Oreochromis niloticus: one gene and its partners. The protein of the gene in region 3 binds, or shares a complex with, the protein of the main gene of each other region. Links are inferred from orthologs where the notes say so. Each region holds a gene or a part of one and is shown on either strand. Other genes may lie near its edges. The genes, in order: ints4, ints2, ints1 and ints7.

What was found.
Region 1: ints1 (region 3) and ints4 share a complex: the UniProt entries of both Homo sapiens proteins name them as parts of the integrator complex. The link is inferred for Oreochromis niloticus from reciprocal best matches to the Homo sapiens genes INTS1 and INTS4.
Region 2: the proteins of ints1 (region 3) and ints2 are in contact, whole or in part, in a cryo-EM structure (PDB 8RC4), measured with the Homo sapiens proteins. The link is inferred for Oreochromis niloticus from reciprocal best matches to the Homo sapiens genes INTS1 and INTS2. Residues at the interface, in NP_001073922.2 of Homo sapiens: Gly561, Ile562, Ala563, Trp564, Asp565, Lys566, Gly567, Ser982, His1055, Met1056, Thr1058, Pro1060, Glu1095, Arg1096, Thr1098, Ile1099, His1102, Leu1107, Arg1225, Ser1250, Phe1251, Gly1252, Ile1253, Tyr1285, His1288, Glu1291, Val1292, Gln1293, Glu1295, Arg1296; in NP_065799.2 of Homo sapiens: Pro40, Leu54, Lys69, Leu72, Arg73, Leu75, Ser76, Gly77, Val78, Glu79, Val81, Asn82, Val85, Gly125, Thr127, Leu128, Glu131, His132, Glu166, Val172, Tyr173, Glu176, Arg322, Gln325, Gln326, Arg329, Gly400, Lys402, Thr769, Met772.
Region 4: the proteins of ints1 (region 3) and ints7 are in contact, whole or in part, in a cryo-EM structure (PDB 8RC4), measured with the Homo sapiens proteins. The link is inferred for Oreochromis niloticus from reciprocal best matches to the Homo sapiens genes INTS1 and INTS7. Residues at the interface, in NP_001073922.2 of Homo sapiens: Leu1378, Gln1381, Gln1382, Gly1385, Gln1386, Ala1389, His1429, Phe1430, Leu1431, Cys1433, Pro1434, Arg1437, Gln1438, Cys1440, Gln1441, Pro1476, Ala1479, Gln1480, Met1483, Leu1484, Gln1487, Arg1552, Pro1554, His1555, Leu1556, Glu1557, Glu1558, Pro1613, Ser1614, Gly1616; in NP_056249.1 of Homo sapiens: His150, Asp151, Leu187, Ala188, Thr189, Pro190, Val191, Lys194, Thr223, Ser224, Tyr225, Pro226, Ser227, Thr228, Asn262, Asp263, Pro264, Arg265, Lys266, Pro303, Tyr304, Gln349, Glu350, Cys352, Tyr353, His354, Asn355, Arg357, Ala360, Gln384.

What each region holds. Positions count from the first base shown.
Region 1 is NC_031979.2:36,510,299-36,517,286, forward strand, and holds the start of ints4 (integrator complex subunit 4), read right to left. Parts: upstream 3,019-6,988; 5' UTR 2,930-3,018; coding exon 2,876-2,929; intron 1,794-2,875; coding exon 1,599-1,793; intron 1,445-1,598; coding exon 1,327-1,444; intron 1,235-1,326; coding exon 1,128-1,234; intron 1,012-1,127; coding exon 897-1,011; intron 690-896; coding exon 604-689; intron 452-603; coding exon 401-451; intron 306-400; coding exon 217-305; intron 1-216. Other genes in the region: uncharacterized protein LOC102082482, read right to left, coding at 5,301-5,640, 6,158-6,629. UniProt on the Homo sapiens protein: Component of the integrator complex, a multiprotein complex that terminates RNA polymerase II (Pol II) transcription in the promoter-proximal region of genes.
Region 2 is NC_031975.2:1,576,160-1,583,844, forward strand, and holds the start of ints2 (integrator complex subunit 2), read left to right. Parts: upstream 1-4,683; 5' UTR 4,684-4,812; coding exon 4,813-4,820; intron 4,821-5,103; exon of another isoform or gene 5,104-5,459; intron 5,460-5,539; exon of another isoform or gene 5,540-5,737; intron 5,738-6,108; coding exon 6,109-6,417; intron 6,418-6,594; coding exon 6,595-6,733; intron 6,734-7,120; coding exon 7,121-7,223; intron 7,224-7,685. UniProt on the Homo sapiens protein: Component of the integrator complex, a multiprotein complex that terminates RNA polymerase II (Pol II) transcription in the promoter-proximal region of genes.
Region 3 is NC_031969.2:25,398,526-25,405,904, forward strand, and holds the start of ints1 (integrator complex subunit 1), read right to left. Parts: upstream 3,015-7,379; 5' UTR 2,854-3,014; intron 2,495-2,853; 5' UTR 2,421-2,494; coding exon 2,366-2,420; intron 2,264-2,365; coding exon 1,973-2,263; intron 1,858-1,972; coding exon 1,661-1,857; intron 1,515-1,660; coding exon 1,377-1,514; intron 1,294-1,376; coding exon 1,134-1,293; intron 1,050-1,133; coding exon 944-1,049; intron 763-943; coding exon 576-762; intron 400-575; coding exon 254-399; intron 164-253; coding exon 22-163; intron 1-21. UniProt on the Homo sapiens protein: Component of the integrator complex, a multiprotein complex that terminates RNA polymerase II (Pol II) transcription in the promoter-proximal region of genes.
Region 4 is NC_031980.2:13,634,044-13,641,142, forward strand, and holds the start of ints7 (integrator complex subunit 7), read right to left. Parts: upstream 3,005-7,099; 5' UTR 2,848-3,004; coding exon 2,754-2,847; intron 2,617-2,753; coding exon 2,487-2,616; intron 1,591-2,486; coding exon 1,444-1,590; intron 953-1,443; coding exon 815-952; intron 711-814; coding exon 664-710; intron 403-663; coding exon 203-402; intron 114-202; coding exon 1-113. Other genes in the region: dtl (denticleless protein homolog), read left to right, coding at 3,762-3,813, 5,622-5,759, 5,852-5,944, 6,025-6,086, 6,279-6,399, 6,492-6,557. UniProt on the Homo sapiens protein: Component of the integrator complex, a multiprotein complex that terminates RNA polymerase II (Pol II) transcription in the promoter-proximal region of genes.

The DNA of each region.
Region 1 (6,988 bases), on a different chromosome or scaffold from region 3:
TCTTCTTTTGAGAACATACATAGCCTTGGGCTAAATATAAAGTCGTCACACCTGGAAGTTTCATGAAGGTTTCTGCACTTCAGCAGAGACAGTTCTTACACACAGCAGTTAGGATTTGTCTTTTCACACATCAGTTGTGGTTTCTGATCCAGAGAGCGGAACAAACTCAACAGCTACACTGACTGAAACGGAGTATGAGAATCTGGGTCTCCTCACCTCTCTGGGTACAGCTGACTGAGCACCCAAACCATCTGCACTGCTGCAGAACGGACCTGCTCGTAGTCATCTGTGAGCAGCCTGCAGGCCTGCAAACACACATGAATACATACAGAAGGTTGGATTAAACATCCAAAGCTATAGTGAGAGTGCAATAAGCTGTGAGGACGTATTCTGCTTGTACCTGATCATAAATAATCTGATGAATCTTCATCCCTCTCTCATGTAGCTGCAGCTGGAAAACAAACAACAGCACAGAGAGCGAGCAGAGTTACTGAAACTTGAAAAGAGAGTGGGTTGTTTTCCTTAAAGCTCACTGTGCGTGGTTTCTAAACACATGAGTGTAGTGCTGGTTGCAGTGCAGGGGGGGTTGCAGGGTTTTCCTACCATGGCTTTGAGGGCTGCAGTGCGGACTCTGGGGTCTTGGTCTCCAAAGTAGTCGCTGATAATGCTTTGGACATCCCTCAATCCTCCTGGAGGTAAAATAGCAGGCCGCCATAAAAACCATCACACAGCAACACAAAGCACAATAAATAATGACACATAAATACGATATGAGGATGAAACTAAAGACATCAAATTTAGATACAGAAGGATGGATTGATGGATTTACCTCTCTGTATTTTCAACATTTTAAGCTTTAGAGAAAATATAATAAATATATAACTATGTATACAAACCTAAGGATGTGCCCGGGCCCTCGTTTTCTTTTCCTACAGGAGCGTCCACCATGCCGAGACATCCCAGGAGCTGTAGGCACTTATTCCTCACCCCAAAATACGTATCAGAGAGATGCTAAGAGGAGAGAAGAGAAATGAGGAGGACATTTACTGGTTTGTGAAGAAAGTCCTGTTGAGTTTGTAATGACGACTTCTGTGTATGGACCCTGAATAAGTGCTTGTTTGTGTCACCTTGTAGGCCACCTCTACGAGCCTCAGTCTGAGTGCAGGACTCTCGGGCAGCTGCGTACCAATGACCAGCAGAGTGTCCAGCAGCTGGGCGAGAACTTGATGGGACTCTGAACACACAAAGAAACAAAACAGTTTACTATGAACGTTTCTCTGAGTTTTGGAGATAGATAAATCTTAGATATGTTCAGATATGTCGTACTCTCATTGCTGAGCGTGTTAATGGCATCGTCAACGATGCAGTCGGGGCTGAAGCCCTGCGTTTTAGAGAGCAGGCCGAGCAGAGAGGCAATCTTCAGCCTCACAGAGTTATCCGTCTCCTGGAAGAAAGAATCATCATCATTAGAAGTTTGACTTTTTTTTAGGACACTAGAAATTCTGGTTTTATCAACTCTATTTTAAAAAAAAGGAGAAAAAAATATCAAGTACTGTATTTTATTATTATGGTCGTGGTTACCACCCACAACTCTTTACCTTGTAGTAATGCTCCAGCAGGATCCTGACCACACCCTCCACGCTCTCTGCCTCCACAGGTTTGCGTGCAAACTGCAGCAGGTACTGCAGGGCATCGGTGGAGTTGGTGGCTTTACAGAGGTCAATGTGGAGAGCGGCAGACTTACTGGGTTTGGACAGACGCAGCTTTTTGGCTGGAGTTTCTTCATGTGGAATCTGTAAGTGCAAAAACAGTTGTAACTACAAAATGCATCTAATCTGTAATCTCCTGATATATAATCATCTATTCTTTTTGATCATATATACTAAGAGCTACTGTCCATTTATCCATGTTCTCCTCTGTTGTTTTTGTTCTTTTAATCCAGGTCACAGGGGCAGCAGTCTAAGCTGGGATACCCAGACCTCTTTCTACTTTCACCTCCTCCAGGTCTTCTGGGGGGTACTGAGGTGTTTCCAAGCCTGGGTGTTCCCAGGGGTCTCCCCCAAGTTATACATGCCTGAAACATCTCACCCAGAAGGCGTACTAAAGCTTTCCCAGTAAGAAGCTCAAACCATCGCGTGGCCTCGGACCTGGAGGTGCCAGCTCTCATCACACTAACAACAAACTGCCCCACTGTGAGCTGGATGTTGTTGCTTAGTGAAGCCACAAGATCCACAAAAACGAATGACATGACGCATAAACGGCTAATAACAGCACTGCTTCGAACAGCTATCACAGTTTCCTCTTACTTTGGCTAAAAATCCTCTCTGAGAGGAGCCAAATGTTCCTCTGTGCAGGAAAAACGCAGAACATGCGAATGAGCTCAGTTAGCGGATGAATGATTGACATTAATGCTAAATCGGATGTAAACAAGTCGGTTTCTTTTTGAGCTTTCAAAGCGTAAAATGCCGCTGTCAGTGGATACTGTGCTCAACATGCCGCAAACCAACAGACAGCAGCTCAAATAAAATGTTTAAAGTTCAAATCCTGTCAAGTCATGAAGGCTTTTTGAAATTAACAGCAGCTTTCTTAGTCAGTCTGAGGCTGTTAGCTCTCGGGTTCATTTTGTTACAGAAGAACTTCAATTTTTAATGCATTAAATAAAATCTAAGAATACAAACACTAAACAGAATACAAGTTTAGTGCTTTTCCTCTGCACTAAACTCTCAGAGGATCCATGTTGTGTTGTGACTGTGAGCGGCTACATTTTAGCATTAGCTAACACGGTACTTGGCGCAGAATGGTAACATTTTGCGATTTTTTTAACCTTTAAACTCTAAGTTTACAACAGCTGACGAGACGGTTATAATGCGCTCACCTGTACAACTTTGGAAAATTCCTCATAAACTCGCTTTTTCAGATGTGCTGCCATGTTTATGAACACACAGTTAGCTAAGCGTTTCCATTCAGCAGCAGGATAAATTGTCCCTTTACAGTTTCCGTAACTTCCTGATATTGTCCATGTCCGCTACATCGATCTTTTAATTATTATTTTGGATATTAATATTTATATATACTTTCATTTTGTTTATTTTTATAGGTTTATGTCAGATTTAATATACAAAAATATTTTCTTTCTTTTTCACTAAACACCTTTTCACCTTTTCAAGCATAAGACAGCCTCTAAGTCAAGGGAGAAACTAATATTATGTCTACACGTAACAGGCAACTTAGCAGAAGAAGCTCTTTTAAGTTGATACTTTAGGCACTTAGCTACAATTAGGCACATTTCAACATAATGTGCAGTGTGTCTCTAACATTTGGAGGAAATTTGACAGATGGAGGTCAAGAGAGAGGTACAGCAGAGGGTCTCTACAAGAGGCTCTGTTGTGGTCTGGGTCCTGTGATGGTGGGGAACTTGTTAAAACTTAGATTCTGATTAGGAATCCAATACAATCTGGAAAGACTCAGCATCACTGTAGCAGTGTGAGATCATCTTGATAGAAACCAGAACAAACGGCAGCAGACATCCAAAGAAGAGCTTTAAAGAAGCCTGGAGGATTATTCCTGAAGACCACTTAAAGAAATTACAAGACAGCGGTGAAAGAGAGTTCAGGCTGTGCTGATGAATAAAGGTGATCATGCCAAATATGGACTTTTCAAACTTGTTAGAATTGTACTCTTTTTTTTTTCCTATTTGTTTGGTATATATGCATATTTCAGTGAATCACTGCACGTATTTACTATTTTTCTATTTAAGCAAATGTGAGTAATGAGGTTTGGGTGATCTATTATTTGTTTTAGCTTTGTAATACTTTGTAGCTGTGTAATGCAGTGAAGCGATGACCTTGCATCTTCGCACACTTTTAGCGATTTCAGACAATTACAACCCCAATGTCAACAAAGTTTGGATGCTGTGTAAAATGTAAATAAAGCACAATGCAATTATTTTCAGATCTCATAAACCAACATTTTATTCAACATACAACACCAAAACATTAACATTAGCTCATTTTGAATTTGACGGCAGCAACACATCTGAGAAAAGTTGGGACAACAAAGGCTGGAAAAGTAAGTGGTACTAAAAAGCATCAGCTGACATTTCACAGCTAATTGTGTTAATTAACTACAGGTCAGTAACATGACCAGGTATAAAAAGAGCGCTTTAGAGGTAATGATGGACAGAGGTTCACCAAGCTCCAAAAACTGTGTCTACAAATTGTGGAAACTTTTCAAAATAATGTTTACCATTGTAAAATTGTAAAGACTTTCAATATATCATCATCTACAGAACATAATATCATTAAAAGAGTCCAAAAATCTGGGAAATTACTGTGTGCAAGGGACAAGCATGATTCTGCCACAGAAATCAGTGCATGGGCATTCCAAGTAAAACTCTGAGGAATCACTGTCTGTGAGCACAGCTCATCGTGCCAGCTACAAACGCAGATTCAAGCTCTGTCATGCAAAGTGTACATGATCCAAAAACACCAACGTCTTCTTTGGACCAAAGCTCAAAGATTTTAAATTGACTGAGGCAAAGTGGAAGACTGTTCTGTGGTCAGACGAATTGAAATTTGAAATTACTTTTTAAAAAAAAAATAACTGTAGAGTCTTCCAGACTAATGAGACGAGTGACCGTCCGACTCATTGGCGTAACATTGTGCTGAACATTGGGGGGGGGGGGGGGGGGGGTCAAGATCACTGTCTGAATAAATAAATAAATCTGGGTAAATTCCCAGATGATTTTGCTGGTAATACCTGAAATCTGTAAAGAAAATCAACAGCCTATTTATGCAAGATAATTAATAATTTTCATATAATTCATATAACCCCCCAAATTTCATAATTTGCATAATTTCCTACCCCCCCCCCTGGAAATTACGCCCCTGGTCCGACTTACCAGTGCACAGTTCAAAAACCTGCATCTCTGACTGCATGGGCATGCATTGGTGCCTGTGGAATGGACAGCTTGCAAATGTACCATCAATGCTGAAAGATTTATACAGGCTTTAAAACAATGTAACATAGCAACACATCGCATCCAGGCAACGTCTTTTTCACATTTAAACAGTGCAATAAAAACAAATTTAACAAACCAAACAAACAAAGAACTAAAAAGCAAACAAGAACCTTTTTTTTGCATTAAAATTTTTCACAAATTATTAATAAAATATGCCATTAATAATACAATACTGCAACATAACTGTAGTAATATTCTCATACTGGATCCATGAGGATGTCATGATTGAAAAGGGGCCAGAGAAGTTAAAATAGTACAAAAATCCTGCAGTGATGGACGCTCAGTTGATCTCGTGGAGCATGAAGGATTCTGCTGATGCTTTGGCCCTCTCGCGGTCCGACTTCCACGTGAAGAATGCCACTATGGTCACCATGATCGGGAGGGCCACACAGAGCACGATGCGGCTGATGGGCAGCTTCACCTGACACATTGCCGTGACCGAAGGATTCAGGCTGTCATCATCATTATTTTGGAACAAAAAGGCAGACCTGAAGTCCAGAAACACGGCTCTGCTGCTTTCTGTGGTGTTCACCAGGCACCTCCACCTCCTGTTGTTGTCTTCCTTCTGGAGTTTTGTCACCAGAGTGATGTTGCAGCGAGTGTGGCCGTTCAGGTTGTACCTGCACAGAGGTGAAATGGACAGAGAAACATCACACAGCTGTCGTTCATCACCAGTGTTCACCTGAACATTTCTGCTCTTATTTTTGGTCTGAGACAATAATTTAATTTGACTTACATTTTCTTTTATAATGTAAAATATAAGTTTATAATTCTGGTTGTTTTTTAATTCAGTCTTTATCTCATATACTCATTTTGTGTATTTTGCTGTGTATACGTGTCTGTATTACATCATCGTCTACCTAATTACTGCTCAGATACTCTCACAATTTAGATTTTTTAATAACAGAAAATATTTTCTTCCTTAGATAAAGAACAAATAGATTTTTTACTTTTTCTCGTATTTTATATTTAATGGTATTAGCTGTTTTTAAATGATTAAACTAAAAATGTTTGCGCTGATCTTTGTTATCTGTTAAGATGATTTATTGCAATACAGCACAACATGTGTTATGGGTTATTTATAGCAATAGTCTTTATGATTAACAGAAATAAGTTAAAGTGACCTAAAAAAACAACCTGCTGTTGTTGGGCAGCTTTCTCCCATCCTCATCCACCCAGCTCAGGCCGAACACGCTCTTTGAGTATGACTTGCAGCTCCCTGCGTCATAATAAGTGAAGAAGATGCAGGTCAGGGTGAGGATTCCTCCAGGCTGGAGGTCGGTGAAGGTGGAGAAAGACGAGATTGTGAGGAGGGAGAGGTAAACGTCAGTGACAGGCTGGTCGTTCTTCAGGCAGACGTAGGATCCAGCGTCCCGCACCCTGAGGTTGCGGAGGCTGATGGAGCAGTTGGATGTGAAGGTCATACGGCTGGATTTGTCTGAATCGGCCGTCACCTTCCCATTGACCACCTCGTGGACGAACCGCACGTCCGTGCCTTTGTTAAAGAAGGTCCAGGAGATGGCGGAGCAGTCTGAGGACGCCATGCATGGAAGAAGAGCGTCTCCTCCAACTGTGCTGTACATAAACACATTCTTTTTGCACCTCGCACCTGTCACCGAGAGATTTTTTATTTAAATAAATCTGATTAAACTTTCATATACTCAGACATGAAAGATCTAAAAGGAGCAATTTAGCATCCAGTAATATTCAAACATCTGTGCTCTTTAATATGGTCTTACAGTACAGTCCAACTTTGTAGTCTGTAATTTTCATTTAAAAAAATGATACGACAAAAAAACAAAACAAAGGAAAAGTAAAAAAAAAAGTCAATCAATTGCTCGGCTACAGTTCAGAACTACAGATCTGCATCAAAGATTAAGAACAGACATAAAAGTCAGAGTTATAAATAGGTAACAAATAACAATGAATAAAATGAAATTTCAAATCTTTTAAATGCAAATTTTAATT
Region 2 (7,685 bases), on a different chromosome or scaffold from region 3:
TGAATGGATTCGTGTTCGTATTGTGTCTCTTCACTGACCCTTTCTCTCTCCTCTGTGCGTCCTCTCAGACTCGGTGTCGACAGGCTCGGTGTTTGGCCGCAGCACCACCTTAAACATGCAGACGTCGCAACTTAGCACGCCGCAGGACACTTCCTGCACCCACATCCTGGTCTTCCCCACCTCTGCCATCGTCCAGGTCGCCAGCTCCAATTACACCAACATCGACACCAACATCGACATTCTCAATCCCACCACTGGTCAGTTGTTCTCCTTTATCGGTCTTTCACTCAGCAGCTGTTTCTTGTTTGTCTCACAGCAATCACGCCTTTCAGTGCAGTTTGTTTCCAAATCCTCCCTGTTTACCTTTCTAGTAGTCATGGTTGCATACATTCTTTCTGCATCTATGGCAGCCTCAAGGGTCTTCAGCTTATTTCTTTTGTGAAAAATGCATTTGTTGGTCAGAAATAGAAGCCATATTTACAGTCACAATTTACATTACAGTGAATGGCACACTCACCCTCAAATCGCAGATCCTATTGAGCTGTTCTCTTCTCCACAGATGGCTCTGATGCTATAGGGATCTTGGCCCTGCTCGACCAGGAGAACGATTTAGTGGATCCAGACATCATCAACATCTCACCTACCACCTCCCCGGTACACTCCCCTGGCTCTCATTACCACCACGGAGGTGATGGCAGCAAGGTACAACATGTACATAACACACACACACACACACACACACACACACACACACACACACACACTGTGCAACATGACGCTTAAAAAGCAAAAAGTTCATCTCGAGTTTCCACCTCGTTGCAGGGTCAGAGTACCGATCGTATGGAGTCCCACGAAGAAGTTCCTAACCTCCTGCAGCAGCCTCTGGCACTCGGCTACTTTGTCTCCACGGCCAAAGCCGGCCCACTACCCGACTGGTTCTGGTCAGCCTGTCCGCAGGCTCAGAACCAGTGCCCACTCTTTCTCAAGGTACTACTTAAGAACGCTCTCGCATCTTTACTAGAGCTGTTCGATATGATGATATATATCTGATGACAATATGAAAACGTTTCATATTACGCTATCGTTTGTTTCATGGTGTCACAAAATAAACTGTTTACAGCAACAGTTTTTCATGGTTCTGATGGTCACTGTAGCGGTTATATGAATTTCTTAAAGTTCTCTCTTTCTCTTATATTTAAAATAACCACGCTACGGACGGATAAGCGACTGTTTTTATGTGTTGTCGTTAGCAACAATGACAGTAAACCCAGCGTGTGGCTCTGCCGTCCACTTGTTTATTTTCCACATAAACATTTCACAATAAAGCTGAAGATCCTGCTGAGATTTTTCAAAATAAACTGAAATGATGACAAACAGAAAGACCAGTCAAAACAAATCGAGGACCTTATTCCTAAACGAGGGGCTCCCTCTGTAGCATGGACATGGGTTGGTTATGAAAAGTCTGACACGGACCATAAAACTGTACTCTGCAAATTACGCAGAAAACCGGCCCCACCTCAGACTCGAACACGACAAACCTCTGCTACCACCTACACAAGATTCACGTGAAAGAGTGTGGAGAGAGTTTACGGAGAAGCAAAAAAAAGCCGCCAGGTGCTCCAAATAAACCTCAGACTCAAACGTTAGAACAGGCTTTTCCCCGCAGCACGCCACCTAATAAATACTCACAAAGAAAACGGCGGCTGTTACAACTTATGTCTAAAAATGTACAGCTTCATGCATCGGTCAAAACACCAGACTCCACGTGCACGACGCCCAGCTGGAAACATTTCACGCAAGTGGAGTTGCCCGAGATTCACAGAATTTACAGAAAATGTAACATTTGTGTGATTTATATCGTTGTTGGGACGATAAATGTCTTATATCAGGATATGAGACTTTGGTCATATCGCACAGCCCTTCTCCTTACCTTAGTGAATTTAAGTAGCCGTCCTGAACATTGTCACTCAAAGCCCAACACCAGTGTCCTGTGTGGTTTGCAACCCTGACCTTTTTTATCACCTGGCGGGTGTTCTACTAAAATGCACTGACACCTTTTTATGACAGAGCTCTGCGTGGCCATTATAAACAGTGCTGGTTGTTAATCCCGGTCTCAGCTGATTGCTTGGAAACCTCGCTGACTCCAGGAAGTCACCGCTCTGGCATAGACTTGGTTCACCACCCCATTAAACCACAACTATGTTGGAAATGCAGTAAATTTGTAAGACTGGTGAAGAATGTTGCTGCTTGAGCCAGTGTGATTGAAGCCTTGTGTGTAATCGCACACAATCAAAGTGTGTTGTGCTTATAATAAGGTAGTTCTGTTTTGTTTGCCTTTTTATCCATTGCTTCTGGAATTGGCTGCAGACTCACTGCTGTTACCATTCTGCTGTGAAAAGCTATCATTATTTAAATGACATGTAATGAAAGGTTGATAACTTCATTATAATGCTTCTGACACCACCTCTTCCCCCCCGTGCTTCCTCTCAGGCCTCTTTGCACCTCCATGTGTCTTCAGTGCAATCAGATGAACTGCTGCACAGCAAACACTCCCACCCCCTCGACTCCAATCAGACCTCAGATGTACTCAGGTAAACAACACCGGCACACACTCTGCATCAGGTCGAGTGCACAAATTACTATTACCACCCTGCTGACTGTGTTTCCAGGGTGAGTTTTCTATTTGTAGCCGATTTCAGACTGACGTTGGTTTGTGCACAATGCTGGCAAAAGTTGCCACATGTTTTAATGAAGCGGTGAAAACTGAAGCGTAACCGTTTTGTACGCCCGTGTTCCTCCACAGATTTGTGCTGGAGCAGTACAACGCCCTCTCCTGGCTGACATGTGACCCGGCTACGCAAGACCGACGATCGTGTCTACCAATTCACTTTGTGGTGCTCAACCAGATGTACAACTTCATCATGAACATGTTGTAAACATCGGGGCGTTACAGGAAGAAGGCAGCGGGGGTCATAATGAGTGAAAACCACTGTACGGAGCTGGATCCTGCACCAAGATGGGATTAGATGGTGTTCCAAGCCTAGCCAGTCCTTCTCCACCACGCCGCCCCCCGTGAGACTGGATATTCTGTCCCTGTGAATTAAAGACATGCACGTAGAGATAAGGGAATAAAAAAGAGGGGAAACTAGAAGCTGAATTGCATTCAATGAACGTGAAAGAATGACAGATTGGTTGTCATGTTATGTAGCGTGGCAGCACAGTCACTGGCCAGTCTGTATTGATGAGACAAGTTTATCTGTAAAGTTATCGGAAGAAAAGGGACATATTTGATCAAGGAAAAAAACCCAAGAATGGATCTTTGGTTTAAGACATGAAATTCCTTTTTATTCCTTTGGATGTAATTGTATCCAAACAAAATGCCTGCATTTATCTTATTTATTGTAAGTTTTTAAATGTATAATTTGTCTTATTTCTTAACCTCTTTTATATATAAAAAATGGAGAAGGTTTATATCACCTTCCTGCTTTAAAGCAATTGGTCTAAGATATATGTAATCGTCTTAATTAATAAAAACACCAGAGGAAAAAATCCCATAAAAATGAAAGTCCCAGTAGGTTGCTTTTAGAGTATTATTTTTTGTAATGGAGACAGAATATTTGTATTGTCACAATGTACAGAAGAATTAGAGTGGAGAATTATGTTTCATGCCTTTGAGCATGAAGACCTTACAGCAAAGCTGTAGCTACAGAGGACTTGTACAGCAATGAACTTCACTGTGTTCAAATAAAGAGGTACATTGTTGTATATAGTATTTTATACCACGCATTTAGACACAAAAACCAAACGGCAATATATATAAAATAATTCTATATGAATGCCATGCCAGCAGTTGGTGGTGTGGCTTCTGTTTTAGGAATAAAGTGCGTCAACTTATTTTCCTGTGCTTGTGTTTATTGCTTTGGGGAGGGGACTGATGTGCAATTGGACAAGGACACCGATAGTGGAGCGGAGTGACAACTATTGGCATCTCTTGGAAGTAGCTGACCTCAGGTTTAATCTTATTTCTGTTTTAATCCGTTTATTTTTCTTCGAGGAGAAAATGAAAGCAAGACTGTGAGAAGAGACATGCAGTGTCCTTTTCAGCACATCCCTTTATTGTAGCACACCTCTCCTTACTCCCATTGGCTGAGGTCTGCCTCCTGGCACCACTTCTGATTGGTTATGGACACATTTAGACCAGTCCCATTTTACTTCAGTGTGAAAGTAGATGTGTGGTGTAAATGAACTTTAACCAGCTACGGATGGCTGCCCGTTGGACATGCAGTGTTTGTGCAAAGAGAAACATGTTCTGTCTGGATGTTTCCTCCATAAACTGATGTTGCTCTTTATCTTTCATATTAGCCAGCGTCTGTTGGCCTGGAAAATTTGACCATTAAAATGTATTTGGTCTTATTTTGAGTGTAGATAAATACATTCAATATTTAATAAAACCTATGAAAGTTTATTTTGCCATGTTTTCTTTTTGGAAAATCATGGTTGTTTGCAGTAACCATCTGCGTCTAATATACAGTATCTCTGCAAGCTTGTTACCACACTATTCACATGTGGGAAAAGGCATTCGAATAACCACGCAGAGCCATTTGAGTGGGATATCTTGCTTGTAAATTGCTGAGTTGCCCCTGGGTGGCATGTAGTAGCAGCTGGCAGTTCATTCTTTGGATAATTTTCTGCATTTCCTCTCGCTGTCAGCAACAGAGGGATAAACGGGTCCTGCTCTCTGTTTTCCTTCACTTCTCACCAACTGCTGTCTGAATATTCTTCAAAATGTGGAATTTATACTGACACCAGAAAATGTTTGAGTAAGTACAAATCGAGATTAAATGGAGTTATAAAATGGCAGGAATCTAAAAGCCCTAAAATATCATCATCATAAGCGGTATTTGCAACACATTAGTGTAATCAAAATACTACATATTATTTTTTAACATTTCCACCAGTCTGACATAAGCTAGAATAAACGGTTTCCACAGTTGTCTGTCCGTAATAACATAGTCAAACTATAAAAAAAATTAAAACGTATCTAATTTAGCTGTAATTATGAAAGAATGGCAGTCCCCATCATATACACGCGCCTGTGATTTATCAGAGTGCTCGCAGCACGCGCAGGCTGGAGTACAGTCTGCAGACCGACCTCAGTCTTTGTTCGGTCATTGCTGCTTCACGGCACCCACGACATTAGTGCTTTTGCTTTCACAATATCCACAGTGTTCCCTGTGAGTAACGATGAGATTTAGGATAACTATAATGGAGTGAAAGTGCCAAACAGCGGCAAAGACATTTCCACAAACGTGCCGGCACAATCCAGGACAAGTTCCTCTGTTATTGGCTTAGGACTCTCCCAGATCGTGCGGCCGCGGGGGCTGACGGTACAGTCTGACGTCTGAAGGCCTCCGTGGTGATAACTGTTTCAAACAGTACGTGTCATCTTAATGAGCCAGGTAAGGGCGTTCTTGTGAATTCGTGTATTTATGTTACACTTCTGTATAGCTTAGACGGACCAGTCAACACAAGGTTGTCCTGTGACAAACTAGCCTAGCTTTTAGCTCTTAGCTTGCTAGCACTATGCTAAAAGTCTTTCCAGAAGCGAACGTACAACTGAATGAGTGTTAGCTACTGCTAGCTCATATGTAGCCTTAAAACATACTCAGCTACGAGTTCGAGCGATTTTAGCCGAATTGCTGGTGCTTTAAAAGGCATATATTAAAGATTTTTGAGGGTGAGCCCAGATAATATTTTCACAAGGAGCCAGAAAACACTAGTTCATGTATTACTCCCAGCAGTTGTTAGCATTTGCTTTAGTTAGTGGCTATAACCGGCAGTTATCTTGTTTCTTTAGTGGCGTGTAACAGCTTTTGTTTGTAGTGACTAAACCTATGAACAAGTTATCAAACAAAAACATTACCATCAGCGTACAGGTTACTCTCGCGTTAAAAATGTATATCGAGGAATGAATGGTCACATTATGACAACCGTTAGCGCTGCAACTTAATAAAGTTTATGTACTGTTGAAAACAGACTAGTAGACTGTAGAAAAAAATGCATCCAGTTTTCCTCTTTAAACTGTCAGTTTTGTCTGTTTTCCCCAAGGTGTATGCACGGAGCGATGGGAGACAGTGCAGGGCTGCAGTTTGTCAGCTCCTATGCTTTTGAAGCCATGCAGAAGGTGGATGTAGTGCGCCTGGCTGCGTTAAGTGATCCGGAGCTGAGGCTGCTACTGCCCTGCTTGGTGAGGATGGCGTTATGTGCCCCCGCTGATCAGAGCCAGTCCTGGGCACAGGACAAGAAGCTAATCCTCCGCCTGCTCTCTGGGGTCGAAGCCGTCAACTCCATTGTAGCACTTTTGTCTGTTGACTTTCATGCCTTGGAGCAGGATGCACGGAAGGAGCAGCAGCTTAGGTATGACTTATTTTCACATGGTAACACTATACTGGCACAGTAGTGGGTTACAGGGTGGGAAAAACTGCTTATCAGGTCATACATATACAGCTATGTTTGTTACCGTGTTTAAAAAAAAAAAAAGCCTACTTGGAGTTCATTTTAGCAGTATACATAATGTACCGTCTCCTCTGCCAGGCACAAGGCAGGTGGCTCTAATGCAGAGAGCATCCTGGTGTCACAGCTGCAGCACGGCCTAACTCTGGAGTTTGAACACAGTGATCCCCTCAGGAGACTCCGTCTGACCCTCAGTGAGCTCCTGGCTATCATGAACAAGGTACAGTCAAAGCTCTACTTATAATTCAGTAAATCTCTGGACACTGACGATGATGATGATAACTGAGCATTCGCATTGTAGAAGTGTGGAACAAACATCTGACCTGGGACAGATGTGTATATGTAAAGAAATGGAAGTGTGAATCATATTAATGAGTGTCACCTGTGGACTACAGAAACAAGATTGTGCTGCTTTCTTTAATTCTTCGTTAAATTTGAAATTTCTATCAGAATTACCCCTAAATCTCTGCCAGCTGCTCTCGCTTGGACTGAAATTAACTGCGTCTCAGTGCTGCTGTTGTCCTTTAGTAGATCCATCTTCATCTAATAGGGTGAGCTGGGTGATGCGTCCCTGTGGCCTGTTTCACATTCCCGTGTTGTTTCTCAGGTGGCAGACTCAAATGGAGAGTTTTTCTTAAAGTCTTCTGAACTCTTTGAAAGTCCCGTGTACTTGGAAGAGGTTGCGGATGTCCTCTGCATTTTACAAGCAGGTAAAACAAAGTCCTTTTGTTTGCAGGTACATTACAATAGCATTGCATTTAATGCAGCAACATTTATAGATAAGTATGAAAGGGAGCCCTCTTACTGCAAGTAATAGATGATATGTTAGTGGTTTATATATTATTCACATAACAGAATTCAGAGCAGAGAGAACCTGGTGAAGAGACAAACTTTAGACCTCACAACCCCAATACAGTATGGTTGTTTTTTTACATTTTTCCACACAGCCAAAGCACAGCATAGAAAAAAGTAGATCTGCTTGCAGTCACCTCTTAAACCACAACAGGAACGTGGCAAAGTGTTAAAAACATGCTGAAGCTCAAACACCAGTTGTTTACAGCACTTTGTCATGTAGCTGATTTCTGCTTGAAGAGGAGTCTGTAGCCAGCCACTCCCATCTCCTCCCAGCTTTGTCTTTTTCTTGTAAAAGGCAGTGACTTGCTTTTTGATAA
Region 3 (7,379 bases):
TTCCAAACGATCTAGTTTTACCTTTGGAGCTTGCTCTGGGCTGTGCTGCAGCACTGTATGGAGGACTTGCATGTTGTTGGGATTCCGGGCATTAGACAGCTCATTAAAGATCACGAGCTTCACCATAGTTCCCAGGTTGTCTCTGTGTGCATTTAGTAGCTCCCTGCAAAGATACACGCAAAGCTCCAGTTAGTGTGAATTACTGACTGTGATGACAAAATAGACGTGTGACAATAAGAACAACTTTACAGACCTGACACATAGCATGTAATGATTAAGCAGAACTTTGGGTTTGAGTCGGATCTTGATCAGGTTGGAGATAACCTCCATGTCATCTGCTCCGTGCGTGTTGCAGTTCATGCACAAAGACATCAGGAGGTCCTGAGCAGGGCGAGTCAACTGCAACCACAAAAAAAGCAAGTTAATGCTTAGTGACCTACTTTTAATGTATTGCAATATTTGTATCTTTAGAGGCCACATTTCACCTTTTATTTACACAAATCCTGCAACATATTATTAGTACAACTATATAACACTATGGATTTATTTAACACAGTCAGTATCAAATGTTTCACCTTTGGGTTCTGGAGCCACATCTCCAGCCTTTGCACCGCCATGAGTCTTGCCTCTTTGTAGCCACATGTGGCTGTGAGCAAACGCAACAGGTTTCGGGACACATTGTCCATCGGCTGCCTGCGGTTCAACTGATCCCTGAGGACATCAAGCACATAGTCCTCCACACTCTCTGCAAGTTCGTCATACCTACAAGTTTCCAATGAATAAGAACAATAAACACAAAATGATCAAGGAGCTCAATGCATTGTTTCAATCATTTTTCATTGTTCAATTGTGAAAATTTAACCGCTTTACCTATATATGCTGTAAATCTGAACACACAGACTGTACGCTATGGCTGTCACATTTATGTTGGTAGCTTTCATACCTTGGCATAACCTGCCCTTCATCCTCAGGGCTGAGTTTCTCCTCAGCTATCAGCAATTCAGTCTGGCTGTCATCCTCATCTGGGGTTGATGGATGAGGGCTGCTACCTAAAGATCAAAAGCAGCATGACCAATCAGCACTTGTTTCTGACATCAGTAATCCTGACTTGCAGAAACCTGAATGTACCATACCTGCACTCAGATCTCCAGCAGAGCGGCCTGTATCAGCCTGGAGCAGCATACTCTTTGGGGGCATTTTCGTTCCAAAAGCAGTCTGAATGTTGTCAACAAAATTCTTACAGTGAGAGCTGTCCACCCAGATTCTTTCACCCAGAGAGTCCTCAATGTAAACCTGAAAGTATACGTCAGAAGGACAAATTATAAGAAGAGCTCATGCATGACAGAAATATGTTTGAGTTTTGTGGGCGTTCTCACTTTGACAAATATCTCTGGCCAGTTCTCGTCCTCCTCGTATGCTGCCATCAGCAGATTGCATGCCAGAACAGAGACCAGGCTGTTGCCTTTTGCTTTAAAGTTGATGGAAGCATCCCTACGCAGGAGGCTGCACAAGGCCTAGTGACACAAGTGTAACACATGGAAAGTAACAAAGATTTTGTCAAATCATTGAGGTTCACTTGGCAAAATATTGCAATGCTGATATATTATACATTATTCATCTGTGTATATGTACTGAAGAATAACTGTGTTAAAAGAATTACCTCAATAATTCCCTCAGTTGCAAAAACATTGGGCTTGATTTTGGCCAGAAACATGAGGCTAAGGTAAAGTGTGATGTCGGGCTTGGCTCTGTTCATCTTGAGCTGTTTCACTGCTCCACACAGCAATCCCTCAATGCGATCGTCATTTCCTTCTGATTCAGCAGCTTCAATCTCATCCAGCAGCACTGCTGGAGAAACTGCCATATAGAAACATATTTTTTTAATTTCCTTGTCAGTTGTCACCTGAAGATTTTCTGACATTTCTATCTCAAATTTTACAACACTTCAGAAATGCACAGGCTTCAAAGTTACCTTCAATAGGTACTACTGATGGCTCCTTTATTGAGGGCGATATAGCCCTCTTGTCCACTGCAGCAACATCAGCGAGACGTCCAAGGGCACTGACAGGAGGGGTGGTGGATAGTTTGGGCCGCTTGGTTAGGTTGGCTAGCCCTGATGAGGATGGCAGAGTGGAGGAAGTCTCTCTCTTGCGGTCAGCAGGTAAACTTGTAGAGGTTGCCTTCAGGAGGACAGCAGGGGCTTTCGGCTCTCCTGCCTGGCTCTTAGAGCCCAGAGCAATGAAATCTCCTGTAGGGGGATGGCCTGCAAAAATGCAGATGTTACAATTTTAGTTTCTCCTGCCTTGGTGCTATTCAACATGGAACACACAGCTAAGATTGGATTTGGTTGCACAAGTAGTCCGACCTGATGGTTTCGCTGCACTGGGGCGCCTAAGAGTTGTAGGCTTCGGACGATTCATATTTACTGGTAGGCACAATTACAATCAAAGTAGAGCGGGAGACATGTATGTGTCGTATGTGTCATATGTGTAGCCTGTGTAGGACAAAACAATAAATAAACATGAAGTTAGTAACAACAGCAAAGGTAAAAGCCAGTAACAAATAGCAGTTTAAATCTCTCTAAATCTCTACAGCTAGTAAATCATTGCATAAGAAGACTAGCAAGAAGGATGTGTTCAATGCCGCTTAGCACTATAAAGGTTATTAATTACATGTTTACAACACACAAGACAAAAAATGCTAGGCTAACAACGAAAACTATGGCTAATATGACTAGTAGCACGACGTTAAACGTTAACACTGACAACTAACAGGCGTTAGGTTTCATTTAACTTAAATCAACCGTAAGTCGTTTGATTAATATGTTCAATAAAAGTCATACTGATTTGATACCTGGACGATATACTTCACACAAAAAAAGTCATTCACCGCCTCAAAGCTATCAGACAGACAGAGCCGTTGTGGCTTCTTTTTCTCGACTGAAATTACTCGATAACACCAACAAGTAACAAGTAACAAGCGCCACCAAGCGCCAGGGAGGATCATGTACAATCTACTTTGAGCGTCACCTCCTGCTCGTCGTGCTGTGTATATACACCAAGTTTGTATACGAACTTGCTCTCTTATCTCAACTTTTTATTATTAAGGCATTTCCAATCAGTTCAAAGTAAAATAGTTCGCCGTATCCTTAAATGTCTATGCAGCAAACCTTTGTGTTTAATGACTTTTACAGATTAAAATGGTTAACTCTTCCAATCATGGTGGAATTCTTATCTTTAACCCTCATGTGTAATATTTACGACAAAACTGCGCCATCACAGCTTTATGATTTTATTCCCCAGCTTCAGTACCAGTAGACGTGGTTTGCGGTAAAAAAAAAAAAAAGTTAAAAATCTAAAAATAAAAACTATATATGTCTAGCCAGTTTTATTTGCGGGGAAAAAACTTATCATTTAACCACATCTGCCTTGGTAGACATGACAAATCTTCTCCTTTGTGTAAAATTTTGTAACAAGTTTTTTTTTTAACCGGAAGTCGTATTATGTCATTGTTCCCGTAAGCTGACGAGCCAACGGTGATCGTCAGAGGGCGATAACGACATTATAGATTCATAATACATAACTGTTTCCATTAACTGTTAATATAACATAGCTAGTGTGTGTATAATGCTGCCACAGTACTATCTATGCTAATGTAATACACGTGAAAGGAAACGTGCTGTACACCACAGGGTTTGTACCACAGCAGAGGAACGTGTATATTTGTGTGTACTGTCATTGGTCAATACCATTGGTCAATACTTAATTTAAAACACCTTCCGGTCACCTCCAAAATAAAAAAAAACTTTTCTTTTCTTTTCTTTTTTTTAAAAAGCGAAGTAATTACGTGATATTACCAATTGGGGGCGCTAAAGATTCACATTTTTTTCTTCTACCTTTAGTGTTAATAACATGAAAATAAAAATAAACAAGAATGTGTTGATAAAAATGTTTTTGTATCAAAATTACTGATGTTAACGCATGTTATGAAAAATAAATATGTGTTAATTGAAATAGTCTATGGTAAAGTTAAGTTGAAATCAGTGTCACACAAACAGACAGAAATAATAATTTTACTACTGTCTACAGTATTTAAGTATATTTATATTTAAATATCTCTTTTTTTTTTCAATAGAATCTCTAAAATCTCTTTCTATTGGAGAAAAATATGAGAATAACAGCAATGTTTTATACTTGGACTCAGCTTTTTTGATGAGGTCTTTTCTAAAATCCCAAGTGAAAGATAAAGAAATGGCCAGCAGATGTCATCACTCCGACTCAAATGCTGCAAAACCGTGAATCATTTTAAGCAGTTACTGGCATTTGCTTAATGGGGTTCAGTCATTGCCTTGGAAAGCTTTTTCATCATCACTTGTGCCAGAGTCTGCAGATATTTTGCCATCTCATAATCATAGTCATCATTATTTCTGCACACTGTTCCTCACTACAGCTTTAGACTGGTCAAGCTTGAAAAAATACCCCTCTTCTTTATCATTTAACCTTCATTTTTAGTCTCCTTTGTGTTCCCTTGTGAAGTCGGAGGACAAAAAGGCAAGCATTGCATTTGAACTCTGAGTTTTAAGCACTTTATTATGAATTAAGAGACGAGATAGCTCTCGTCAATTCATTTGATTCACATCATGCGTTTAATTACTTTCATCCTTTGTGAAAATTAATTGAAAAAAATAAAATCCAAGCAAAACTTTGGCTGCTTTTAAGCTTAATAAAAGAACTGCATTTCGCTTTCAAAAACACCGCAGCCAAAGGTCTGGAATGAGATGCAGGTCAATCAGCTATTCTACTAAAATATGAAGATTAAATATTCTTCTGTGGAGGGATGCAGGTGCTTTTTTGCCCCATTTAGCAGAAATAACCATTTTAAGAGTTTTTGCATAATTGCTTACTATCTGGCACTGGGTGGTTGAAATTTTTTAACCACTCTTCTATCCAAAATTCCTTCAGTTGCCAGATAACCATAGGCGGGAGGGTTTTCAAACAGCAGTTCCTCTATCAAATCCTTTTTGAACTCTGGTCTTTAAGGCCATTCCATCACCTTACAGTTCTTACTTTTGAGTTATTCCAGAGTGGACTGGAGGTTAATTATTGCCTTGTTGAAATGTCCCTTTCTGATTCACTTTTCAGACAGGTAGCCTCATATTATATTCCAATAATCTTAGTTATGATGCAGAATTTATAGTTCAATGAATGATTGCCCAGCCCCCCAAGAGAAAGGAAGCAACCCCAGACCTTACCATTTCTGCCATTTCTTCATCTACTAAGCTCCCTGTGTGACAAACATGTCTACTGTTACTTTAACCAAAAATCTGCCTCTGATTTGTCTATCCAGAACAAATTATTCTAAAGCTCCCAGCCTTAGCCTGTTGGCAAAATGTATTTTACTCTTAAATTATTTGCTTTGAACATCAAAGTTTTTTCCCTGCCACATCTTCAGTACAGGGAGCCATCTCTTTCTGATTATCTAAACCTTTGCTTTGACAGCAACACTTGCATGAGCTACCTGCAGCTCCTCCAGTTAAAACTAGGGGTTTTGTCACTCTGGGGTTGGATTTGCTTTGGCAGCCGGTTCAGTAAAAACTGGCAGCCATCTAAAATCTACAGTTTTTACTGAGAGTGGAATTGTGGACCTAAAAAAATAATTAAAAAAAAAAGAGAGAACTTAAGATCGTGGCATGATGATTTCAAAGTGAAGCAGCAAACTCTAGATGGGTTTAATTAAGACAGGCTCCACTTGTCACTTTGCAAGCAGAGGCTTATTTTATGCTTATAGTGACTAAACTTTTCTGTATATAGTTACATTTGGAGAATTAACAGTGTTCATTTTGAGTGTTAATCTTCACTTTTTTTTTCAAATTTACAGCTATCAGTAGCTTTAGGGGAAAAAAAGGAGAGCATCAAAGCGTTACACTTTATAATGCCCATATTTAGTCCCGCCCATAGTCAGCAGCAGTGAATTGTTCATTCCTTAAGCATTGCTCAGCTGTGACAGGACTAAAAAAGAGAAATTACTCTGTCCTTCTCTCTGCTCTCTTGCTGTCTGCAAATTCCCAAACTCACTTTTTTTTTGCCATTTAAAGCGTAAAAGAGAACCTTGGTATTAGACTTTAAACAGTCCACCAGTGTTTGCTCCAGCTAGTACTGCCATCACTACCACTGTAACCTCACCATGTTCATTTCCATGCTGCTCTAAGCTGCCAGCTGGTTACGTAAAGTGTTTTCATATGAAACACATTTTGGTGAAGTCAGTGGAATGTTCAGTAAATGCTCCAAATTAAATCTTGTGTCACATGTGAAGTCTACAAATGTACAAAAAAAGCTGTTTTTTAGCTTTCGAAATTACGTACAGCTCAGACTGTGCCAGAGCTGGCTGTCTAATATGTCGGGTATTTTCAGCAAGTTGTGCCTGGACAATGTGGAAGGATCTAGTGGGAGGAAAACAGGATTATTATTATTTTTAATGCAGTGTGAGTTAATTGGCTGTGAGTTTAAAGTATCCTATAAATATCTTAAAACCATTCTTCTGCTAACAAATCATTTGGAGTATTTGGAAGAAAAGGAATGATCCCCTTACAACAGTGGGCCTCTTTGTACCAGATCAGATTTCTTAGGAGTTGAGAAGTCTGAGTCAGAAAGAACCCAGATTAGTGAGTCAATGTTACTTCCTGTAATTCAAAACTGCCCGCAAGAACCCAGACCCCACAGCACGTCGGTCTGACAAAAACCCCGGCAAGTCTGCTGCACATGGTTTTGCTGTTTTTGTTTTGTTTCACACATCGGGTGTATTTCAGGTCACCGGCATACGCTGCTGCCAGATGGACAGTAACTGAGGGTTATGCCATTGACTGAGCAGCTGGATGTCTGACTGGTGCAGAATATTCGCGGTGGTCCTGCAGAGACTCTCCAGTTTGATCTCTTTCTTTTCTCTGTCTGCACATTCTCTAGAAAACAAGCAATACAACAAACTTTTGTATTTTTTATTTACATTTTCTGCATTGTATCCCATCATCTTATTTCACTTAATATGTGATCCTGATTTACTTAAGCTCATCTTTAATACAGTCCAATAACAGTTATTCTAATAACTCATTTGGGTCTCGTCTCATCTATAATCTGTGATGTGATGCAAGTAACCTGTACAAAAAGAAGGTTACTCATCTGGTTTATTTGCTTTTTACTCGAAGCAGGTTCCAGCGCAGATGAAAGGACGGAGCCAACCATCCTTAGTAAACAATTGATTCCATATGTGATTCGGGGGAAAAGGTTGAACTGTTGAGTCATTTGCCATAAATGATGACATTCATTTTAAATCTATCCCAGTCTGCTTGTCTGGCATAAAGCCAGAGTAAAAAAAAAAGATTCGAA
Region 4 (7,099 bases), on a different chromosome or scaffold from region 3:
TCTCTTATCCACAGGTGAGGAGCCTTTTTAGCCAGGAGCTTTAAATCGTTAACTGCAAGTCTCTTCACAGCTTTTCTCGGATCATCTTTTAGGTACTGAAGGAGGAGCTGCAGCTGCAAACAGATTAGGAACCAAATCAGAGGTGCACCACAACAAACTAAAAGAAATGACACATAGCTGTGTGCGAGCAAGTTGGGTCTACCTGCTTGGGGATATCTATGAGGGAAGAGGCGGCCAGCTGGGTGAAAGTATGCAGGGAGACAATGACCATGGGGGTGGAAGGATAAGAGTTCACCAGATGCTGTAAAAGCTCTCTGCTGCTGGACGCCAGGCTGGCGTCATGATGCATGTGCTGCAGCATGGGGATCAACTTCAGCTTCAGTTCCACAGGAGTGTCTAAACCTGAGGTGGAAGAAAAGACCAATACAAACATTATGTAAAAGATGCAGTGCACGTGACAAATGTTTTCTTTGGGTTCAGCAAAATGTGTATTTGCAGTGTTTTGTGTTTCTTTTTCTCCGTGATTTCAGAATGAAAAAAAGAATAATTTTAATGGCTGTACTCAGTTTAGTGTGACAATTAAAAATAAAAGACATCAGTGACAATGAAGCTTTGAACCACGACAGCTCTCGTTTATCTTCACGTAAAGAATAAAGATCTTACCTTGAATCATCTCACTAACTTTGTTGCAAATTCCAGCTGCAAAGTCTCTGAAAATAAAAAATAAAAATTAATTAAAAAGCCACACAACAATAAAATCATCTAAAACATCATCCCATACATCAGAGCTCACTTTTAGTCATTGTTTCCTTACTTTGACTGTGCAGAGAAGCTTGCAGCAGCAAAGATGGCTGCCTCGACTTCCACATTGTCATGAGAGTCCAGGCTTTGGCGAATAGTGTGGTGGGCATTCTTCCTCTCTGGGATGATGGAGGCCAAACTACCAAGCATCCTGAACACATAAGACAGCAGGAATTTTCTTTTTAAAAATCTGAGATGACTGAAAAGATGGTGCACAACAAAACTGAAGAAGATAGTGCAGACAGGGTGGAGTGGATGGAGACTAGTATTGGGGTGATTTGTGACAGAAGGATAACAGCAAGAGTGAAGCAGAAGTTTTGCAAGATGTTAGTGAGATCTGCTAACATGTATGATGAAGATGTTACGATTCTTACAGAGAATGCACAGGATAGGAAAGAAGGGACAGCTCAGGTTGGGCATATTGGAGTAAAAGTTAGAGAGGCAAGGCTGAGATGTTTTGGACATGTGCAGAGGAATGACACTGGATACACTGCACAAAAGATGCCAAAGCCAGGCAAGAAGGCCACAAAGGAGGTTTGTAGATGTAGTGAAGGAGGACATGCAGAGGGTTGACAGAAGAGTGTGCTAGGGATAGGGTCAGATGCGCCACTCGCGTTTTTAATCATCATTTCACATTGTTACCTCAGAGTGATGGCTCTGGCCACAGGGTCATTACTGTGGATGACTGAAAACACCCGTTTCACAAACTCATCCACATTGAGAATCTTCTCCAAATGTTTCTCACTCTGTTGAGTCACTTTGAGTACACAGAGACGCAGAAAGTTGTTACTGGAAAAGAGAAATAAGATGTTTGTGGCACAGTAAAGCTCATCTTTAACTTCTCGCACCTTCTAAATACATCTTACCAACTTCAAAAACATTCTATTAAAAAGTGCATAAGATGCGCACATTTATTTATTTAGGCACTTTTGAATAAAATTAAAGTTTGAAAAATCCACTTAAGTAAGAATAGTTCTTATTCTTTCTTAAAGTGAAATAAATTCACTTTTTCCCCAAATCCTCTTATTTGGAACCTTCTCTCTCTCTTTTCCGTCAACTTTTTCCCTTTCTTTTTTTTCATGAAGAATAATTATAGTTTTTTTATTTTTAAAACCTTTCTCACACCAACATTTTTCCCTCTGTACTTACATCTATTCATACTTTTCTTAATTTTTTTTTTATTTTCTAAAGTAAAATAAAATACACAGATACTCCCTGAATATCTCACTACAGTTCAAACACAACACAATAACACATTAACAGGCCTGCCCTCAATGATCAGTTTACTGGGTATGCTTAGTTTAAAGTATCTTGTACTTTTAAAGATTGATAAACATCAAGTTCATTAGAGACATCAAAGACACGCAATTATTCATTAAATATAAGAAGAAAATCTATTATCTGTTATTTTTTGGTGTTTCAGAGTTTGTTTATTTTATTTTTGCATTAGCTTGGGAGTGATTATGTGAACTACATGAGTGTGCGAATAGTGTTTACATTTTCTTTTGACGGCTTAGGCTTGTGGTTAAACTGTACGCTCAATTACTTAGAGATGTTATTAAAATTTTCTCTACACTCTGAAATGCATTGGGATGCCTGTATTAGATTCAGCTATAAAGAAAGTGTGAAACAACTGTCAGTAAAGTAGCCTTTAACAAATAAATGATCATCTAAAGCAATCATACCCGAGCCTGAAGATGTCTGCTAGTTTTAAAAATGCAGAGTTGATGAGGATGGGAAATGGGTACTTCTGGAAGAGTTTGGGGAACAAAACCACAGCCTCACACTGCTCACCGAGCTTCCCCGACCGCAACCCTGAAAATAAAGTGGAAATGCTCCAGTCACAACAAAGCAGGAAGCTTCCACTTAACACATTACGAGGAAACGACACACCGGATCAGAACACAATCAATGAACCATATGCTAAGTCTTTAGCCAGCGAGCTAACACACCTTTGTCCAGCTCCATGAGAGCGGAGTTAGCGTCGAGCTCCTGTTCGCCATAACAAGCCTCTGACAGGAATGAGCGTGCGGTGGAGAGCGACATTACTGTGCAGTTTTTACCCCTTAAAAGAAGATACACTCATGAGATATTAGCATTTCACTGTTCAGGCGGTATTCAGGAAAACACTGAGGATACAGAGACAGAACATCCGGTCTGGAGATTGACTTTCACAATAAAACGCCAGTTGTCATGGTCGCGAGCTACCAAGCTGTTTTAGGGACTATTTATAAAATAGATTTACGTTAAATATCTACGTGAAATATGTATTAGTATATTATTCTAGTATCACCTTAGCATCAAATGATAGATTATGGATGAATCGGTAACACCATAATACTCTAAATAACAACAGTTACATTGGAGATATCATAGTCATGGTGACTTTTAAACCTTTGTTACTTTAGTGCTTCTGTTGAAAAGAACATTTTTACTTGTGATTTTCATAACTTTTGTTGCAGTCACAGATATTCATTTTCTAGTTCAACACTGCGCACAACCTGAAATTGTGTGTTGTCACACATACTTGCACCACTAAATGCACCATATACATGCAGCATTTGTTTGGCAGTGGTTGTATACAACAAAGTGTATTTACTAAACTAACAACTGTCTAACAGGATAAACATACTATGCAAAGAGGGGCTAGTTATTAGTTTAATCGTTTTAAAAAATATTTATTTATGCTGAAGGGGCGTCTCCTTCTCCAGTTATGGTGGGAAACTTTACAAAGAAAGCGGAAGCAGAAGCGCTCCTGCCCAGGAAGTCGCCGTTTCCACCAATGGTTGCGCGTAACGCAAGTTTAGCGGGGAATTCAGTCCTTCTGCTCGGACGATCTATTCGCGGGAAACAGTGTCCCGGCATCGGTAGGGAAAGCGGACCACCAGTAGCTAAACATCGAGGAAAACGTTACGTTTTTATACAAAAGCCTTAGGATCGAGTTGTGCTGCAGTGCAGGGATGCTTTTCCGCTCAGTGGTGGACAGAGGAGTGGGCAGACGGAGGCAGAATGGTGAGACAGGGATGGGTTTTTGGGGAGATCTGGGTTATCTGCACGGCCATGGCTGGGCTTTAGCTAGTCTACCATGGAAGATAATGCAGTCTAACATCTCTGCTTTATATTTGGAGGAGTCATGCTGCCAGGAGGGCTCCTAGAGTATCATTTGCACTTGCTTTTCTTTTGCGTTCAGTGTGGACTTTAACGTTTAACTCTACTTTCTTCGTGAATGTCTTTGTCGGGCTGTTCAGACTCCAACGGGTGGTAGATCAACAATATGTCCTGCCTTATACCTGTAGTACATATCAGGACAGTTTCTCACATTTTGATTGGCTTTGGTTTATACAACTCAAGAGCAAGTGAGAAGATGAGCGTGCCGATCTATGATCGTAGGTCACTTTATTAGGTACACCTGGCTAGCACTGGGTTGGACCCTCTTTTGTCTTCCATGCGTAGATTCAACAAGTTGGTTGAAGCGTCCCTCAGATATTTTGATCCATATTGACGTGATGGCATCACACGGTTTCTGCATATTTGTCGACTGTACGTCAACGATGCAATGTCCTGTTTTACCACATCCCAATGGCTTGAGATCTGGCGTCTGTGGAGGCCATTTGAGTACAGTGTGCTCATCGTCATGTTCAAGAAACCAGTCTGAGAGGAAGTGAGCTCCGTGACATGGTGTTATCCTGCTGAAAGCAGCCATTACAGCCATTAGACAAGGGTGTCACGTAGTAAAAGGTCACGTATAGATAAAATTGAAGTAGGCCAAGCTGCTGCAGACTACCAGACTAATGGAAAGTGGGAAGATGTTTGAGTATATTATGAAAATTTTAAGGATATGTATATAAAATATGAGCCTCACTGTTACCAGTCTAAATTCATTACACATACAGGTGATTATAGTAAATGGTCCCAAAAGAAAAAAACCTCAAAATCTTCTGGTAATTCAAAGAATACATCCTATTTTTTCCTGTTAAATAAAATAGGAACTTGCCCATTGATTCGTTTATAATGAAAACCCAGCTAATTTTCTGTTTTCTATTCATTTATTTTATTTTTAATGGTGTCTAGTGCTTATTTTGGTATAGTATAGCAGGTCAGGGGTGATTTGTTTGTTACTAAGAAGGCTGTAAAAATGACAATGAGTCAAATCTCTGGACCGTCAGTTTGGACTCTCGTGGCGTGATCGGTTCACAAGTACAAACCGAAAATCCACATTTAGGCATTCTTTGACATTTTTACACGGGCCGGTTGTGGCCCCTGGGCTGTATGTTTGACACCCCTGCATTAGAAGATCGGTACACCGTGTTCATAAAAGATGGTCAGCAACAACAACATGATACTCAGTGTGCCAAGAAAATACCCCCCACGTCATTACACCACCAGCAGCCTGAACTGTCGATACAAGGCAGGATGGATCCATGCTTTCATGCTGTTTACATCAAATTCTGAACTTATTATCCAAACATCACCGCAGAAATCGAGACTTTTCAGACTAGACAATGTTTTTCCAGTGTTCTGTTGTCCAATTTTGTTGATCCAGTGTGAATAGCAGCCTCAGGATCCTGTTCTTGGCCTACAGGAGCGGCAGCTGGTGTAGTCTTCTTCTGCAATGACTCCAAGGTTCAATGTGTTGCATGCTCAGAGATGCTCTTCTGCATATCTTAATTGTAACAAGTGGTTATTTGAGTTACAGTTGCCTTAATATCAGCTCAAAGCAGTTTGATGATTGTCCACTTAAATCTGCAATGATTTTTCCGTTAGTTTTACTGCTGTGTCTCATTGATTTCCCTCCTCTGACCATGCATCATTCTCTTCAGCTCTCCCTGCAGATCCCTGGTCCAGGTACCCTCTGAGCTCCCTGCTTGAAGGCTACCGATGTGTCCGACATGATGAACATATCTCCTATGGGAACTTTGGCGACTCTGTGCCACCGTTTGGATTAGCTTTCTCCTCTGGTAATTCATTTGTGCTTATCATTGTGAGTGCAAGGACCTGTTATCATTAATCTGTCTAACTGCAGTGTCTCGTTTCTGCTGTTTGTTTTCAGCCAGGGACCAGCAGAACATCCTCGCAGTAGCTAATGAAGAAGGCATTGTTAGGTTCTACAACACAGAGAGCCGTAAATATCCACTTCTTAAAGGTATTCTTTTGACTTGTGTTCATAATTGTCATGTCATGTATTTTGAAATGTCGGTGGCTAAATGTGTGTGAACCTTGCAGCATGGCTGGCTCATGAGAATGCTGTCTTTGATATCGCCTGGATGCCAGGGGAGGCTCAGTTAGTAAGTGCAAATTTATTCTGTTTAGTCAGAGAATTGCAGAAAGTCAGATCTTTATGCGTCACCCTCAAATGCATGACTCATGTAATTCCATCTACCTTACTAATTTTTCTTTTTGTTCTTTATTTTGTTGGAACTCATTAAAAACTCTGAAGCCTTTTCTTATTATGCTTTGGTCATCTGTGATCTCTTCAGGTAACTGCTGCGGGTGACCAGATGGCCAGGCTCTGGGATGTGAAGTCTGGAGAGTTGTTAGGCAGCTTCAAGGGCCACCTCTGCAGTCTTAAGTCTGTTGCATTTGCACCAGAGGAGAAAGGTATACCTTTTACTGAGCTAACACCGTGTTGGTTGTGCATTGATGATATATTGTTGTATCATGTGATTAATACATTTTCTTTTGTCACACAGCTGTGTTTTCCACTGGAGCCAGAGATGGAAATATTATGGTCTGGGACATGAGATGCAGCAAAAAAGGTATTGATCAGAACAATAATAGTGAATTTAGCAATAAATTTTAAATCATATCTTTAGCCACTTTGTTACTAGCAGCCTGTAGCAAAAACACTTAATTTTTTCCTGTTTCTTTAGTTGAATTTATGAAAAATGCCACGACCACTCAGTTTGAAAGGCATAAAATAGTACTTTTGCACCACCAAGGTGTTTCCCAAAGAACCATTAGCCTGAAAACCTGGGTGTATTTTGGCATTGTGTGCAGTGTGTCCTTCAAAGAAAGCCCTTTAGTTGATCCGTCTGCTGTTAACTGAAGCCTCATCAACATCGGTCTCAGGCTGTTCTTAAGAAAGGGAGCAGGGAGAAAAGTCTGGGGTATGCTAACTCACACAAAAACTGGACTGAAAATCAGTAACTGTTAAACGGACTCGTTCTTATAAAGCGCATTTCTACTCTGAGCACTCAAAGCACTTTTGTGCAACTTGCCTCATTTACTCATTTACACCTATTCATACAAGCACTTTTTTTCTATGCCTTTCCCATGTAAGTGCTTTCTATCTAATATT